Saccharomyces cerevisiae S288C: one gene and its partners. The gene in region 3 interacts genetically with the main gene of each other region. Each region holds a gene or a part of one and is shown on either strand. Other genes may lie near its edges.

Evidence for each region.
Region 1: of SIR1 (region 3) and SPT21, changing one enhances a phenotype caused by changing the other (phenotypic enhancement), as found in Saccharomyces cerevisiae (one study listed by BioGRID).
Region 2: of SIR1 (region 3) and HEK2, changing one suppresses a phenotype caused by changing the other (phenotypic suppression), as found in Saccharomyces cerevisiae (one study listed by BioGRID).
Region 4: of SIR1 (region 3) and HHO1, a mutation in one rescues a mutant of the other (synthetic rescue), as found in Saccharomyces cerevisiae (one study listed by BioGRID).

Annotation. Positions count from the first base shown.
Region 1 is NC_001145.3:617,688-622,933, forward strand, and holds SPT21 (Spt21p), read left to right. Parts: upstream 1-2,170; coding exon 2,171-4,447; downstream 4,448-5,246. Other genes in the region: MMT1 (Mmt1p), read left to right, coding at 1-411; FPY1 (flavin adenine dinucleotide pyrophosphatase), read left to right, coding at 792-1,616; CTL1 (polynucleotide 5'-phosphatase), read right to left, coding at 4,564-5,246. UniProt on the Saccharomyces cerevisiae protein: Required for normal transcription at a number of loci in yeast.
Region 2 is NC_001134.8:158,277-162,353, forward strand, and holds HEK2 (Hek2p), read left to right. Parts: upstream 1-1,907; coding exon 1,908-3,053; downstream 3,054-4,077. Other genes in the region: STU1 (Stu1p), read right to left, coding at 1-113; RIB1 (GTP cyclohydrolase II), read right to left, coding at 380-1,417; SHE1 (She1p), read left to right, coding at 3,423-4,077. UniProt on the Saccharomyces cerevisiae protein: RNA-binding protein involved in the correct localization of transcripts in the cell. RNA localization is a widespread mechanism for achieving localized protein synthesis.
Region 3 is NC_001143.9:638,134-643,421, forward strand, and holds SIR1 (Sir1p), read left to right. Parts: upstream 1-2,406; coding exon 2,407-4,371; downstream 4,372-5,288. Other genes in the region: BAS1 (Bas1p), read left to right, coding at 1-153; SKG1 (Skg1p), read right to left, coding at 768-1,835. UniProt on the Saccharomyces cerevisiae protein: Involved in the establishment, but not the maintenance, of heterochromatic silencing at the cryptic mating-type loci HMR and HML.
Region 4 is NC_001148.4:308,168-312,219, reverse strand, and holds HHO1 (histone H1), read left to right. Parts: upstream 1-2,615; coding exon 2,616-3,392; downstream 3,393-4,052. Other genes in the region: NAN1 (Nan1p), read right to left, coding at 1-2,010; TBF1 (Tbf1p), read left to right, coding at 3,999-4,052.

The DNA of each region.
Region 1 (5,246 bases), on a different chromosome or scaffold from region 3:
ATCGCAATAAAGGAGTTAATCGATCAGTCAGTTTCTCGTGATGATCCACGCTACCTAGAGATAGAAACTTTGGTTAAAGATACGTTGAACAAACTGATCTCTAATAATAATTCTCAGAAACCCTATGGATTGAAAGAACTGACGTTACTGTCCTCAGGACCGAATTTACGCGGACATTTAACCTTGGAAGTTCCTTTACAAAAATGGGGCAATATTTTAGGTGTTAACGAGTTTGAAATTGTGACACATCATTTACGTAATGTGTTAACCAATGAAGTATCGAATTTGAGAAGACTGGATATTGAATACGTGGAAGAAAAAAATGGTGAGGAAAATGAGCATATCAAGGGACAACAAAACTACAAAGAAGATGTTCTTATTAAGCACGACCATACGAATACTCATATTTGAGCTTCCCACAGTAATAATAACAAGTGAAGAAGAGAGGGAAATGTCGAAAATACCCGAAACGCATTTCACAATTACAAAAAGGCCAAAAAAAAAAAGGAAAGACAATACGCTTATATTTGTCACGTATACCTACTATTTGATTTATGTACGTTTTATATACAAATTGCATTTACTATTTATAAAATAAATCATTAACTATAATACTCTAACTGAATGTTTTAGGATCTTCTCTATTAAAAATATACGTGGAAAACGACTATGGCTGCCCGAGAGACTAAAAAGGAAAGAGCGAGGGATATAACAATAGCAGTCATTACTGGTGATAATAATGACATAAAAGAATTACTGAAGGAGGCAAAGTATATACTGTCAAGGGTATAATGGTGAAAGTAACTGCAGCTTGTATCATAATTGGTGATGAAGTGCTGAATGGAAAAGTAGTTGATACAAATTCCACTTTTTTTGCGAAGTATTGCTTTGATCATGGAATTCAATTAAAAGAAATTGCAACTATAGGGGATGATGAAACCCAGATCGTAGATACTGTGAGAAGATTAGTCAAAAATTATGATTTTATCATCAGTACAGGTGGAATCGGCCCCACTCATGACGACATCACTTACGAATGTATGGCGAAAAGCTTTAATTTGCCTTGTGAACTAGATGAAGAATGCAAAGAACGAATGAGGCATAAATCTGACCCTGAAGCAAGGCTTGATGCAGATGCTCTAAAGGCGCATTACCAAATGGCAACCATGCCAAAAGGCACAAACGTCAAAAATTATTATGTGTGTGATGACTTGTGGGTACCTATTTGTTCTATATCTCACAAAATGTATATACTACCCGGTATCCCTCAACTATTTGCAAGGATGCTGAAAGCGTTCACTCCCACGTTGAAAAAAATATATAATTTGGACAAGGATCCACGTGAGTATGTTCGTTATTTTGTCAGAACACACCTAACTGAGTCTCAAATTTCTAAAGAGCTAAAGTTGATTCAGGATGAATCAACAAAAGTTTCAGAAGCCATTAAAATAGGCTCATACCCACATTTTGGTATGGGATTCAATACAGTTAGTATTTTGGGTGAAAAGAAAGACGATTCATATCTGAAGAGTATTGTCAATAGAGTTGTTAATAACCTCGAGGGAGAAGTAATTTCTTCTGAACTTGAAAACAAGTTCTCGAACCAGGAGAGCTGAATACCCGAGTATTTAGAACTATGTATAGATATAGATTTTTTTTTTGGGAGCAAAGTCATCTCAGTCATCGCCGGTAGTTGCGCTTTCTTCTCAACAAAAAAGTACACTGCTCGTGGTAGAAAGGTACCTTGAAAAATTAAAGATCACATTGCTACTGTTAGAGCTTCAATCGCTAAAGTAAACATTTGAAAAATGCATATCCGAAAGGACCAAACCAGCAAAAGGTATATAATTCATTCAATAGATACAACTGCTCCATGAAAGGAAAAACCTTCATTTACGGTCGCGTTTTTTTTCGTGATATAAAAAAGGTAAAAAAAACGCGTCGCGTTAGAAAAAAGGTGTGTGTGAAGAGAAAGACCCATTGAATGGAGAGTTCGGTTCTTGGGAATTGCACTGAGCCGTGGTGAGTTTGTTGCTTTACTACATCTCTTCTTTTATAAGCAACGCTTAAGCTGAACCTAGTCAACACACATAACTGAAGTCAATTTGACCAGGTGCAACTGAAACCTGGATTGGAATTGGTATTCACTTGAACAAAAGACTCTGGTAAAATGTCTGAACTCTCTCAAATGACATTGAAGATCCTTTACACATTGGATAATGGATCCAATGGTAGTTATTTAGCCCGCTCAAGGGCTCCAAAACAGGTAAGAGTTGCTAATATTCCTAGTCCATTCCCGACAGATTCGAATGAGCAAACGGAGTTGCGAATTGGCGCCATCCATTTGAAGACTATACTGCATGAAATATACTTAAATTCACCTGAAGTGTTAGACCATGACACTTTAAAAGATGGATATGATTATAACTTGTATTATCGTGACATATGTGAAGTGGATGAGCCATTAGTAAGCCTTGGTCTTCTTTCCGGGCTTCGAAAAAAGTTTCATAAGAATAGCCCCTACCAGTATACAGAAAACAATATTGGTGAAGAAGAAAGTGAAGAGAGAGATGAGGTAACTGAAGAAGAGTATGAAGATGAATCTTTTATAGTTACTGGAAGGGTATGCTCGAATGTTTCCGCTTTACTACGAAGATCATATAGCAACATCTCGAATAAAAAGGGAAGGGTCGTAAACAACCAAATTCCGGAAGAAACTTTGGAGGTTAAACTAAGATTCACAAAAGTTATAACCAATTTAAGGACGTCTGGTAACAATACTACAAATTCTCGGATATCGTGTCTTCAAATGCCGTCTTCTTTACCATCAGCAACACTTCCGTTTACCCCAAAATCGCAATCTCTTTTCAAGACAAACCAAATAAAAAATTCAAGGAATGCAAGGACCACGATAACAATAAATAATACTAATAGCGGGACTGTGGGAAGAAGACAGACGAATCCTATGCCTGCTCCAAAAGCTGTCAGAACTCAGTCTTTACCCATCTGGAATCTTAAACCAAATATAGCGAATACTGGTTTCCCAAGAAATTCAATTGCGCACAAAATCTACTTAGCAGATAGAAAAACAGAAGCCAATCAACAAAACAACCAGCATCAAAACATAGCTTACGAAATAAATACTTTGCAAAACGATAATACTATTCAGAGGACCAAGATCGATGATTCGGTAAGCAAGAGGTTCGATTTTATGCTCAACAAAAGAAAGTCTACGAAAAAAGTGTCACCTGGTATAGCAACGATAGCAAAAAAACCAGCTTCAATAAACATAAATCCAAAGCAACCGCCGAAGACTAGTGGTGAAAAAAAAGCAAATGATAAGCAAACGATTGTCAAAGTTAAGAATTCGAATTCCAAAAATTCGGCTAAGTCTACACAAGCAGGATGTAGGCGATCATCAGTGATAGAACATTTAAATGATCATGACGATTCAATTTTAAGTGACATTCTATCGGAACCAGGCATTGAAGGGCAGAAATTGCAGCAAAAACAAAAGGGGCGTAAGATATCTTTAACTAGTGAAAATGATAAAGAAAATATTCCACCCCAAAGCATAACTAGTAAAGAGAACAAGCTTGAAGGTGACTTGGATTTTAACGCTGAGTTCCCCATGAGTGACTTTTCGGATGTAGTATTTAAAGATGAGATGGGATGGTTTTCCAATTTCAATTGCAATTTTTTTGAATCACCAACTTCTGCAAGTGCATCACAACTCAATCAGCAAAATTTGAAGCCTTCTATAACACTCAACGATCCAAACACCTGTAACACCATTGCTCTCGAAAATGAAGATGTCAGTGAATTGGAAACAGCGCAAAATAATAAAATATCTTTGCCTAGCGATGTTGACAAAACCTCCCCAATAGACTCGTTGTCTATACCTTTAATTGAACTTACACATTCAAGCTCGACAACAAACATGCAGCGTATATCCATTAAAGAAGGATCGACACTAAATATAACAGATAGTAATAATGCCACCCCATGTGATAATGATATAAAAGATAGAAAGGCATCTGTAATAGATTCGGACAATACAAAACCTCAGGCAGGGCTTATAAATTTCTCTACTCCAGCTGACCAGCCAGCTTCTGATAATAATGTTACAGCTTCGAAAAAGCTTACTAGCATGCTGGAAACTCAGCAAAGTAAGAGATCTCATGAAGAAGTTTTGGATGAAGAGGAAGAGGAGGAAGCCCTCAAAAAGCAAAAGGCAATACCGTCTTCACCATGTGGGATGTTCAATTATCATCAACCCATGGAATTATCTGAGGACATAGTTGAAGAAGAGCAAGGACACAATATCGGCGATGATAATGAAAGCGATAAGACCAACGATTTATTCTCAACATTCATCCATTCAGGAATAAGAGTAAGTCAGGTAGTAACAAGTCCCATCGGTGAATTTCAGTCAATAAAACACTGAAAATATTACATGAACTTATTCCTAGCACAGCATGTATATATATATATATATATATATACTCAGATCATACATGTAGCACCTTATAGAGAACAAAAAGAAGTATTTAATTAGCATTTTCATGTCGTTAACATGTTATCGCGTTCTGCAGCCTTACGTATAAGGTCGCTGGCATTCAAAAACGAGCACATATACTCATTAAACTTCTCCCTATCATTAGCGGAAATTGTCTCCTTGAATATAGGATCCATTTCTACCTCCACTTCATGGGACGTGTATTGATGGGAGTTCCTTCGCGTGGTAGTAACCTTTGTCAAATCCAAGTGTAAAGGCATTTTATCATTAAAGGTGTAGGTGGAACGGCTTTTGGTTCTTTGTAAAATAAAGCCATTCCTGAAAGCGGCAGAAGTTTCGTATTCAGGCACTTCAAGGCTGATGCTAATTTTAGCGTCTAATGAACTTTGAGGATAGCGAATGAGAAAATCCTTGACCCGGACCTTTTTGATGTAAGTAAGTTTAAGTTCTTTGTTTCTAAGGTCTTCCGAACAACGCCATGAAGTTAATTTGCCAACTTTCGAGGCATTGTTGCAGTTATATATAGAATCTTTCGTATACTTTTGTACCTGTTTTACTACTCTTGGGGCACATTTACTTGGATTCTCCGATTTTGAGCGGAGTAGCTCCTGGAAACTCGAGAACATTTGCTCAGGAACGTTAGACACTAAGCGGCCATTTCTGTTTTGAACAATAAAGGGCTTGTTGTGTGGTGTCATCCTGCGATGTGTCCTTTTGTCTGTTATAA
Region 2 (4,077 bases), on a different chromosome or scaffold from region 3:
TTTTCCTCGATGGGTACAGACTCGTCCTTGAATACGGTATACAAAGGGAAGGAATCGTCTGGATGTGTATTAGTGTTGCTGTTATTATTGGTCTCATTGTTGAAGGACGACATTATTTCTGAAGAATACAAGGTCTCTCCAAAAACCCTAATAATTACCGCTAAATATGCCTGTCAATCGGATGAAGGGAAGTTTCAACCTCAAATGTAAATAAATAGATGTTTAGCGTTTTAGAATAAATAAGTAAATAATTTGATTTTCTATAAAGATGTTAATGCGCCAATACGCGCCGACGGGGTAACGCATTAAAATAACATGGTATTTTCGTTTCATTACAAAAAAAGCACTATATGTACTAATAATTATGCTACACTTGTGTTTATATTGCCAGCGTCGATGTTGATGACAACGCAGAGTTCATACGGTTTTGGTTTTGGGCTTCACTTGTCTCAGTAGGTTGAGGGTTTGTATGAAGTTTCAGAGGCTCCGTTAGTAAATGACCCATTCTTTCTATCTTGGTCCTGAGATAACCTTCTATCTCCTTGGAGTCTATGCCTTCACTGGAGTTTGTCCAGTGTATGGGTACCATAGGCACTCGTTCAACGCACTTAAGGTAAGGCGCATGATCTACCTGTTTTATCTTTTCCGGGTTATTTGTCAGCAGCCTGACATTACCGATGCCAAGATCCAGCAAAATAGCCTTACCCAGCGAGAAGTCCCTAGCATCCACGGGATGTTTCAGCATTAAGTTGGCCTGCACTGTGTCAGCACCTAAGTCTTGCAGGTTGTAGGCCTTGAGTTTCTCACCTAACCCGATGCCACGACCCTCTTGTCTTAGATACACGATAACACCATGGCCGTTTCCACCTTTGATGTTGCTTGTGGGTTCGTGGTCGCAAGCGATAAGCCTACCGGCCCTATCGAATTGTTCACCACAATCACAACGGGCGCTCCATGCGTTTTCACCGGTGTAACATTCAGAATGGATCCGTACCAGCGTGTCGTTATGGGCGTCCCATGTAGTGGCTTTGGAAGCTAATAACTCACCTGTACTATCATCAAACTCCAGAGCTAATCCGAGTCTATCGTCTTCGTCTGCCACAGTTCTGCCGGGATACAGTTTGCCAATATAAGCGCCCCTGATCATTCTATCTTGTTGCGTCTCGCACTGTCTTCTACGGAATAGCGAGCGCGACCGTATGTCTTCACCAAACACAATGGCTAGATGTTCCTTGTTGTCCCTGTTGTTACTGTAAAGATGTAAAAAGATATCCGGACCCTGTGTGGTTGGGATACGAGCTCTTGCGACACATTGTACTAGAGGCAAGCCGCCATCGCCGTTCCTGCCATCACCCGTACCACTAACCTCGTATTTGCTGCTATCCTGTTTACTGTTGTCGTAGTTATCTATGGTCATCCTGTAGGTTTGTTGTAGTTTTATGTACGCCACTTTTTGTAATGACTCAATTATTGTCCACGCCAGCACAGCAACTTCTTTATATATACTATAGCGGCGCTGGCGCTCACCCCACAAGAGCGTCCGACTAATTTCTGACAAATCGTAAAAAGAAAAAGAAAAACTCAAAGGAAAAAGAAAAAGTCTCACCCTACACAACTTGTTTTCAAAAACGGTATAGACCCTACTATTTCTGTTTTAGCCCTATGCTAAGTCTAGACATTACCCTATCCCTTTTAACGAAAGCCCTTTTGTTTTTTTTCTGTGTGTCCGGCCGCTCAGCCAAACAACAAACAAGACTATAATCTGGAGCATAAGTACCCGAGCATATATAACTACTTGGCATACGAAGTAAAAGCATATTGCTCCCCACTCCTATCGCGCGTCCCCTGTACAACAAAGCATCAACTTATCGGGTAACTTAGAGACAGCATTAGTATATATACCAGCCATGTCACAGTTCTTCGAAGCTGCTACTCCCGTTGCAATTCCCACAAACAATACCAACGGCGGCTCCAGTGATGCCGGCAGCGCCGCCACTGGCGGCGCCCCCGTTGTTGGCACCACCGCTCAACCCACCATCAATCACAGGCTTTTGCTGTCATTGAAAGAGGCTGCCAAGATCATTGGCACTAAGGGCTCCACCATCTCACGCATAAGAGCTGCAAACGCCGTCAAGATCGGTATTTCTGAAAAGGTGCCCGGTTGCTCTGACAGGATCCTGTCCTGTGCTGGGAACGTAATCAATGTGGCCAATGCCATTGGTGATATTGTTGACGTGCTTAACAAACGGAATCCCGAAAATGAGGACGCAGCTGAGGGCGAAGCGGAAGAGCACTACTACTTCCACTTTTTGAACCATATTTTACCAGCTCCCTCAAAGGACGAGATCAGAGATCTGCAGCAACTGGAGGACATCGGTTATGTGAGGCTCATTGTGGCCAATTCCCATATCTCATCGATTATCGGGAAAGCAGGCGCCACCATCAAGTCCCTGATCAATAAGCACGGCGTTAAGATCGTGGCTTCCAAGGACTTCTTACCTGCTAGCGACGAGAGAATTATCGAGATCCAGGGTTTCCCAGGATCCATCACCAATGTACTTATCGAAATTAGCGAGATCATCTTGAGTGACGTTGACGTCAGATTCAGCACAGAAAGATCTTATTTCCCTCATCTGAAAAAGTCCTCCGGTGAGCCAACTTCCCCTTCTACCTCATCTAACACTAGGATCGAATTGAAGATTCCAGAACTGTATGTAGGCGCCATTATTGGCCGTGGAATGAACAGAATTAAGAATTTGAAAACTTTCACAAAAACCAATATTGTCGTGGAAAGGAAGGATGACGATGATAAAGACGAAAATTTTAGAAAATTCATAATCACAAGTAAATTTCCTAAGAATGTCAAACTTGCTGAGTCCATGCTTTTGAAGAACCTGAATACTGAAATTGAGAAACGTGAAAACTACAAGAGAAAATTGGAAGCTGCCGAAGGAGATGCCACTGTTGTTACTGAACGCTCTGATTCTGCTTCTTTCTTGGAAGAGAAGGAAGAACCTCAAGAGAATCATGATAACAAAGAGGAGCAGTCGTAGTATATACGTGTGCGTGCGCACGTCCCACACAGACAAAACAAACTATCATCTTAACGAATAATGTTGCATCATTACTAGTTTAAACTGTATTTTTATTAAAGGGAAAAAAATGATTCAATATGTATATATTTATTCATGTATATGTATTTTGAATTAAAAAAAAACGTTTTATAAATACTCAATAAAGCCGTTGTATTTTCTTTATTACTATCGAAATTCTTGCTTTAAACATTTCGCGCATCGCCGGCTAGAGGCACAGAGAGGGAAGGGGAAAATAACATGAAAAAATCGTAAGTTTCTAGGCAATGGTATAAACAAATAAACAATAAACATGCAATTACAGCTCTAGAACACATATTATCTTCATGGATGAATGATAAACTCCAAGAAGAGCATAACGAAAAAGACACCACTTCACAAATTAATGGTTTCACGCCGCCGCATATGAGTATAGACTTTCATTCAAATAACAATAGCAATATCATCGAGACTATTGGCGTTTCCAAAAGATTAGGAAATTCTGTATTAAGTGAACTGGATTCTAGAGCTAGCTCAAAATTTGAATTTTTAAAAGATCAATCCGAACAACAATACAACGGCGACAAGAACAATGAACCAAAATCGGGCTCGTATAATATTAATGAGTTCTTCCAAGCAAAGCACGACTCTCAATTTGGCCAGATGGAGTCGCTAGACACACATTATACCCTTTTACATACGCCCAAGAGAAAGTCACAACATGCAATCCCACAGGATCGATCGGATTCGATGAAAAGGTCGAGACCGTCCCGCTCAATTCCATACACTACACCAGTGGTAAACGATATCACAAGAAGAATACGAAGATTGAAATTACGGAACTCATTGGTTAATGGTAATGACATAGTGGCTAGAGCGAGATCTATGCAAGCAAATTCTAACATTAATTCAATAAAGAACACACCATTGTCAAAGCCCAAGCCATTTATGCACAAACCAAACTTTCTAATGCCCACTACGAATTCTTTGAACAAGATCAATTCCG
Region 3 (5,288 bases):
GGTTCCCATAGCGGAGGATACGATTTTTTTAACGAACTGTTGGATAAAAAGGCAGATACACTGCATAATGAGGCTAAGAAGACGAGCGAGCATGATATGACGTCAGGAGGTTCTACCGATAATGGGTCAGTCCTGCCACTGAATCCTAGTTGAGAAGGCAAGGCCGAAAAAAAACACAAATCTTTCAATTGTTTAACATATTAGTTTTGTAATAAGCATAAGTGTATATTATACATAGCACAAGATGGATAATATTCTCTGAAAAAAACGTGTAGTTTCATGACTCGCATTTTTTTTTTTTTTTCTTTCATGTTGATTAACATACTTGAATTCTGTATTTAAGCTGTATAAAAAGTTGTTCTATTTCATATACGGCGATTTTGCATAATTAAGAACTTTGCCTTGTACACTATTTTACTAGGGTATTCTTCCAAGATTTCTCTTCTTATTTTTTCCCTTTATAAGTCATTGTAGCAACATAATTTCCTGGAAATTTTAAGGGAATATATTTCTTTCCGCCCACAAACACAAAGGGCGTTTAGTAAATTATGCGGCGATGTATAAAAGAGAAAGCAGGCAAAAAGAAAATGAAAAATGAGACTATGAACTTTAAGAATTATGTCTTGACTAATTTTTTAAAACCCATCATCCATGAAGAGTTCTGTTTGTATTGTTTACGTTTGATGTTTGAAGTGAATTTAATAGAATTGTTCCTCTTTTTTTCTTCTTTTTTTAACTATAATATAATGTTTAGTATATCAACAGTACTATTTAGGCCTTAGACTTTCTATGAACTCTCTCTTACTCTGTGAGTAGTTGGTAAATTCGTTTTCGTATTGATCTTCCTCAGCAATTTCCCCGATATTGCCCACATCATAGTTATTCTGTAATTTGTATAAATCCTTATCTTTATCTGTTATTGCAGACCTGCTATCCTTTACCGAGTGGTCAGCATCCATTCCTTCGTTATCTTTATCAAAAGTGTTTGGTAACTGTGATTGAGCCGCACTTTTGGGTGTTGCAAACACATCCTCTAGGGCATCGCGCTTATTTACCGATGTTATAGAGGAATTCCTTGTATGGAAGGACGCGTTTGAAATGTTACCATTTAAAAACGAGGATGAAGCTCTCCTTGGGTAATACGAACCAAAGTCCTGATTCTGCAAATTTCTTATCAGATTTTCATTACTAGATTGGCGAGTATTATGTTTAAGTTCTATCATCGAAGCTTTGTTTTGGTCATTGCTAGTATTAGTATCACTGGAAGGATCTGCGAAAAAGTTTGGTCCTTCATCAGAAATAACAGGGACCATCTGATCATAAACGCTGATCTGTCTCTTTGTTATATGCCGTTGGGAAGATGATAAGGAAACATTGGAGCTGTTATTTATACTTGGTAAATCCACAACGGACTTCTGCCTGGCATTATTGCCGTAGTTATTATTTCGTACTTGAAGTAAATTTATTTTCCTACGGTATGCTGGCACATAGTATTTACTATTCTTTTTCCCTAACGGTTTCTCTTGATCTCGCGATTTTCCATCTTTTTCTTCTGGATGAGCAGATCCTTCCGATGAACCAGAAGTGTGATCAGGATTTTTTAGCTCGGAGCTGGCTAGTGCTGCTTCATCTTTACTGTCTCTTAAGGGTCCAAAATTGTCAAAGGACACGAAACCACTTTCATCATAAATAGCCCTTTCCAATTCTCTATCGTCTTGTTCCTCCCTCTTGTATCTTTTTTGTAGGTTAAACCAGAAACATACTGCTATTATAATACCTACACCGACGGGTATACCCACCGCACAACCCACCGCAACTGATGTGCTGGCAGTCATCTCTTTTACTTCTTACTACGATGAGCTCCCAAAAAAAAAATATATCCCTGATAAATAACACAAAACTAAGAAGCCGGACCTAGGTGAAGAGTAAAATAAGGACTCGAAATTTTGTCTAATACTCAATAACTCAGTACAAAAACTGCCTCACAGTATAAAATATCCAACTTAGAGATATTCGTTTTAATTGTCCCGAGCAGGCAAACGATAACTGATCCTTAGTCACAATAATAAGTCTATGCTTTCTGTTGAAAAAGAACAAATAGCGAGCGAGTCAGCAAGCAGAATCTAAAGAGGCTTGCAACGAATGGTAGGCAAAGAATTTCTAACCCGAAACCTCAAGCGAATGGTGGATTCCTTACTTCCAATCTTCTAAAAGTCTTTAACTCTGATTTCGAGGATCAGTACTTTTTCTATGGTTTATTAATATCGGCCTCGAAAAGTTTGTCGCGAGAATTTGGGCACATGTGACCCGGAATGTATATTGAGTAATATAAGAATGAGAACAATAATGTCAATAATCACACGTCGTTATAAGCAGCTGAAAAATTATAAGATAATATCAAAAAAAATGCTACAGATCAACTCCAGGCTTGCAGTTATTGATGGATGGCTGGTAGACACTGTGAAGCGAAAACCAATAAATTTTCGGAGTCCTGAAGTAAGATTACTGTTACCCAATGACGATGACTACAAAAAGCTATCACAACAAAACTTGGTGGACTGGACGCGATTAAAGAAGGATTCTAATTCGGTGCTCGTTGGAGTGAAATCTATGGAACTATTTAAACACATAAAGCTAGTTTTGCGAGAGTTTTTCTTGTTAGAAGATGGAAGAATAATTCTGAAGAGGATCAGAAGCAAATTACGTTACAAAGTTGTCAAGAAATTAACTTGTAAATGCTGCAGGTTATATTTACCAAAATGGGGCACCGTGTACATACATCCGATGCTAAAAGATAAAGAAAAGCCCTTAGCGGGGGTATGTGAATTTTCATTGGATGTAAACCCTGATCGGGAGTATCCCCTTATTGAGATCAATGTTAGTCATCAATACATTATAATTGAGGGCTTCCTTCTATACTTAAATGAAAGGAGGCTCTATAGGTGGAACGATAACAATTTGAGGAGTCAGGTTGGCTTAACAAAATGGGCCCATTTAAGAAAAACTTACAATCCGGTAAGCCTTGACATACTTTATAGTTTGAATTCAAATTTTTATTTTGTAAAGGATGATCTGCTATTTCAATTATTAGGAAAGAGGGTATTTGTTAAATTTTGTAAAGTAATGGAAAATGGAAAATGCGGTAAGGCTCCACTGTGGTATCGTGTGAAGAGAACGACAACTGCCAAAGCAACACATATTGCATATGCCATATCAAATTCAACAGCCCCAGATTCATTCAAAAGTAAAAATAACGATTATAGGTTTATTGTCAGGGAAAAGCCAATTGTGGAGAATACTATCTCCAACCTGGATTATTCAGACATAAAAAAACAGCAGTTTACTGAAGCAGAGGTTGTAAAAAGAAAGATCTCAGCAGATATTTCTCAAATAGAGAATGTGCATACGCAATTTAATAGTCAAAAGGAAAAAAATAATATCAGGGTGAATAAGGTTTCTAGCGAGGTCCTAGATCAAATTTCGAAATTTCCTGTGTCCAGAGTCACCTTACTGTTGATGTCTGCTGGTCAAGATAAAAATTATATTGAACTTGTTGAAGAATTGGCAAGAAGGTTGGAAAAAATATGCATAGAAAAAACCACACAATCTTTAGAAGAGATAAGGGATACTTTTCAGGCGAATCCTGAGATGCAGGCTAGCTTTGATAAGGAATATTACCAGAGCATTGAAGAATATAAAATTACACTCGAACTTATTAAGGAAGACCTTTTGATTACTCTGATAAAACAAATGGAAAATATGTGGGCAGCTGAAAAAAAGTTTAGTACAGAGGAGGAGTATGTTTCGCCGAGGTTTTTAGTAGCAGATGGATTTCTAATCGACCTAGCAGAGGAAAAACCGATTAACCCAAAGGATCCGCGCTTACTGACACTGCTAAAAGATCATCAGCGTGCCATGATTGACCAAATGAATTTAGTTAAGTGGAATGACTTCAAAAAATATCAAGATCCTATCCCGCTGAAAGCCAAAACCTTATTTAAATTTTGTAAACAAATAAAGAAAAAATTCCTACGAGGTGCGGACTTCAAGTTACATACATTACCTACAGAAGCAAATTTAAAGTATGAGCCGGAGCGGATGACAGTTTTGTGTTCCTGTGTCCCTATTCTTTTGGATGACCAAACTGTCCAATATCTGTATGATGACAGCATTATTCCTGAATTTGAAGCAACATCTTCATATGCAACAAAGCAGTCAAAGTGTGGGCGGAAAATGTCTTTGCAAATGGAGCCTGACCTCCTTTTTCAAGAGGCCATTAGACGGATGCGACATTTAACTGCTTATGACGTTTTGAGAAGAAACTATATTGCGGCATTTGAGGAGCTATATATGGGAAACTGTAACGATTAAATAGTTGGTAAGATTATCAGTTATGGATACCAACATATAAGCGGGTGATGTCTCATTTCAATGAGGTCAGATAACTGGTACAGTTTCGCCTTTAATACACTTGTTTGACAGAAACTTGTTTTTAATTGCTTGATTAGCTAAGTAACTCGAGCCGTACTGTAGTACCGTTAAATATATATTATGTAGGACTTAGTAGAATATACTAATAATAGATACTGCAATTGATGATCCCAATTACTGTTTTATTGACTAACTTTCACTGAAATGTTTTCATTCTCTGATTTTATATTTAGTTGGCGAACTAGCTCATCCTAATTATAATTAAACTTATATATAGCATAAACCGACAATAATGCGTGGGTGGTCCTCCATGCCGAATTTGTGAACTGAATTATTATCTAAGCACTGGATCGATCACCTTAAGATGATATATTATTTATAACTAAAACGCAGCAGCATTACACTCCAGAGTAACTCCTGAATTTCGTCATGGCATGTACTTATACTATATAACCAACAAAGGATGACTGAATAAGAACCAAATACTTTTCAAGAGATAAGATACGCGTTGCCATTGTTCGCAAGGCAGATCAAGAAGCTTCCTAGGCCTGTGAAAAAAGGAGGAAAAAAGAAATGAATTTTCTAGCTGTATTTAGATTGGATTTGAGGTTCACTAGTATAAGCAACAGCTCCAGTTCTTTAGTCAAGTGCCAGCTTCCCTTGAAATATTAACCTCCCTTTTTTCTTCGTAAACCACTATTATGACCATCGGCCTGTTAATAAGGAGAAAAATAGAAAACTGAAGCAATAGCGGTATCATAAAGCTGACCGTGTAAAGTCACCACTAACCTCCCAATAAACTCTTCCAACTCTGTTTTTTTCAAAGCTAGTGGTGCATTTGAACGCTATTTAGGATT
Region 4 (4,052 bases), on a different chromosome or scaffold from region 3:
TAAATTTGTGTCATTAATCAACTTGACGGTTTGGATTTCAGAGTCTAACGTGAACTCACTGACCGTCTTTGTATTTTCCAATGATTCAAACTTTTTAAAAGTGTCGAAATCTAAAATTTGCAACTTGTCATCGAAACCATGGAATATTAGAGACCCGTCTTGAGACCAAGCTAAAGAAACGGAGTTACTGAAATGATTAAAGTTTGGTAAAGAAATTTTTTTCAAGCACCAGTTGCTCTCATGAGAGTCGAAGGACCAAAATTTCAGTCCACCGTTGTTGTCAGCCGTTAAACAGCCTTGACTATTATTAACTGATCTTGGTGAAGGCAATATCTTGGTAATTGGGACACTTATCCCGTGTGGATTTATTACTTTCGTTTTCAAATTCCAATTTGTCTCATTATCGTTTTTGGTCCAAAATTTCAAGATATGAGTTAAGTCCTTGGAAGATAAGAGGTCATTTGGCGGATACTCAATTTCGTATGTAATCATCCATTGCCCATCTTTGGTGAACTTCAAATCAGTTATTATTGGGTCTTGTAAATTCAGTTCAAATCTAACTTTACCCATAGAATTGTTGACACCTGATGTTAAATACTGATAGTTAACTTGCTCATTTTTATAGAAGTCAAAAATTTGAACAGCAGAAATGTGTGGGAAATACAAGTTCTTGTTAATAGGGTTTATTTCTACATTAGTGGTGAAATCTTGTCTTCTCGATTTAATTAGTTTTCTAGATTGTTTCTTCTTAGAGTGATTGAGAGAGGTAATTGAGTTGGAGTTCTTGGTATTCATGGCCGAGATTGGTTGCTGAATGTGTTTTATGGTGCTATTGAACACCGGTAATGGCCCGTTAATCGACAATTTGGAGGTCAAATCAGAAGCATTCAAAAGTAAAAATTGGTAGTCAGAATTTGAATTGTTTTCAGTCATTTGTAGGATTAAAGAGTAGTAGTTCCCTTGAGGTCCCAATACCTGACAGTCGATTATAATACCGTTCAAACGAGGCAGGAATTGTTGAGAGTTTGTTTCCAATTGCCATAAACTCATAACTTTTTCCCAACCACCAGATAGCAAATAGGATCCATCGTGAGAGAATGAGAGTGACAGCACAGAGTCTATATGCCATTTGAGCAGTCTTATTTGTAGATCGGCCAGGCTTACGATACTTATAACTCCGGAGGCAAATCCAACAGCCAGTTGTTGACCCATATTGTCTATGGCCATGCTAGAAACGTACCTTGTGTTATAGGATAGGGATTGAGTCTGTGAAGAAAGGATGGAACCGAGGGGAAAGCTTAAATTTACAGAATCATCAAAAAGCGAAACAACTGAGATGGATTTGTGTTCGTGATCTTTTGTTGAGACGTCTTTGCACATATGCGCTAGCAGTTTACCATTGGAAGAAATATTTGACAAGATAACGTTGTGCCATTCTGCCTGATGAGCCACTTCAAATTGCTTTTTAGCATCGTCAAAGGTTAATGCATATAACCTGTACGATTGCAAAGAGTTATGTGCCTTTTGACTAGGGTCCTTGAACGTTGTCAAAATTCTATAGTTGCCCTCGCTATGGAAAACATTTGCAAGCTTTTCATCTGCCAAAGAGATTTTGAAATGCTTAGGGGACTCGACCAGCTTCCCCTTATAATTTAAAACAATTACATGACCATTATTGGTGAATACGGTAATCAGATGAGCGTCTTCTTGTTGCGGAACGGTTATATCACCCAGCAGAATCTTTACAATCGATTCATTATTCTCTTCTTCTTGCAGAAATATTCCGGATAACAAGGAGTTATTTGCAAACTTTAGAGTCTTAACACATTGTCTAGTTTCCACAGAATACACCTTGATCTGATTGTTAAAGGGTATAATATAGTTTCGTTGGTCTTGTGATAGGCGGGCGATATTCTTATTGCCGGTTACTGAACTGAGATTATTCAAAGCGGGTTTCCCACCAGATACGACTGACAGTTTATACTGTTCGATACCTAGGGATTGCGTCATTCTGGTGATCAGCTAAAATGGTTCTGGTTTGTACTTGTAGTTCCTGTGACGACAGCCAATATAACTGATATGTAAACTGTGCCAAAAATCATTTGTTCGAAAAATTTCATCTCATCTCATCGCTAGGAAAAAGAAAGGAAAATTTTTTTCTAGTTTCTCCTTCTCACATTTTACATCACTTACCACGTACCCTAAGCAGTAGGCCGCCTTAACCCTGACGTGCTATTTTGTTACCCTACTGATGTGACCGCTAGATTTTGACATGCCAAGCAATACAAATCTCCAAGAAGTTGCTGTTTGCTTTGATGAAATGCTATTCTGTGTCAAAAATGCCCCCTCCTAGGGACTTGCGTCTAGGTAAAAGCTATTCTGCACAATAACAGGTTTGATGGATGATTTTTGTTTGTTCTCTTTGGCTTTTCATTTTCGCGTCGCGTTTTCTGCTGTTGTTTGTTTTTTGTGTGGAAAAGCGGGCGGTCAAAGTTTTTTGTTTATCTGCCTTTATTTAAAGAGGAGGAGCAACTATAGATTTGGGGAGTTGTTATTTATGGGCACCTGATAATGCTTGGCAGCGAGGGAAGCAATTATAATACAACTAAAGCAACATGGCACCCAAGAAATCCACTACCAAGACCACAAGTAAGGGCAAGAAGCCTGCAACCAGCAAAGGCAAGGAGAAATCAACTTCCAAGGCCGCTATCAAGAAAACCACGGCAAAAAAGGAGGAAGCTTCCTCCAAGAGTTACAGGGAGTTGATCATTGAAGGGCTCACGGCTTTGAAGGAACGTAAGGGATCCAGTCGTCCGGCACTCAAGAAGTTTATCAAGGAAAACTACCCGATCGTCGGATCCGCAAGCAACTTTGATTTGTACTTCAACAATGCCATAAAGAAGGGTGTGGAGGCCGGCGATTTTGAACAGCCAAAGGGACCCGCTGGTGCTGTGAAACTGGCCAAGAAGAAATCTCCAGAAGTAAAGAAAGAAAAAGAGGTCAGTCCAAAACCCAAGCAAGCCGCCACTTCTGTGAGTGCAACCGCATCAAAAGCGAAAGCCGCATCCACGAAGCTAGCGCCAAAGAAAGTAGTGAAAAAAAAATCGCCTACTGTTACCGCCAAGAAGGCCTCTTCGCCTTCTTCATTGACCTACAAGGAAATGATCCTTAAAAGCATGCCTCAACTTAATGACGGTAAGGGCTCCAGCCGTATCGTTTTAAAGAAGTATGTCAAGGACACTTTCTCCTCCAAGTTGAAAACAAGCTCAAATTTTGACTATCTGTTCAATAGCGCTATCAAGAAATGTGTTGAAAACGGCGAGTTAGTGCAACCAAAGGGCCCCTCCGGCATTATTAAACTAAACAAGAAGAAGGTCAAACTCTCCACGTAAAAAGTGAATATCCAAACGAGAATGTCAATGGTGATAGCAATACTATCAAACCTATTTTCTTTCTTCATTTTTGTGTCCCATCACTATTAGTATTTTGTATTATTTCTAAATTTTTTTCTCTCTAATTTTCAATCTTATTCAAGTGTTTGTTGGCGGTACTGTAAATTTTCATTTTTTAATCTCTCCCTTCTCTATTTGTTACTTATTCGGTAAATATCTCCTTTATGATTTTATTCAAATTCCATTCTTAACTAACTAACTATACTGTTTATAAATTTCTCTTCTCTTATATATGCAAGGTACAGTGTGTAAAATTAATTATTGTATTTGAAGAAAAGGCTTTAAAATCTGAACATTTGAAGCCCTAATATTCTGCACCGTGCCCTATTAATTTTCGCCCCTTTCCGTAGAAGCCCGGCGAGACCTCATTCCGACTAATTTTCCTCAATGCTTTGCCCTTCCTTGTAAACATTATAATAAACAATCATCTCAATATTGGCGTTTTGCTCCTATATCCTTGCCAACATTTAAGATTGTGGCTGTCCCATCTGCGACAGAAATCATTTTACATTAGTTTTTCTTTACTCACTTCTTTCCCCATTTGTCATGGATTCGCAAGTGCCCAATAATAACGAAAGCTTAAACCGCTTCAATGACATC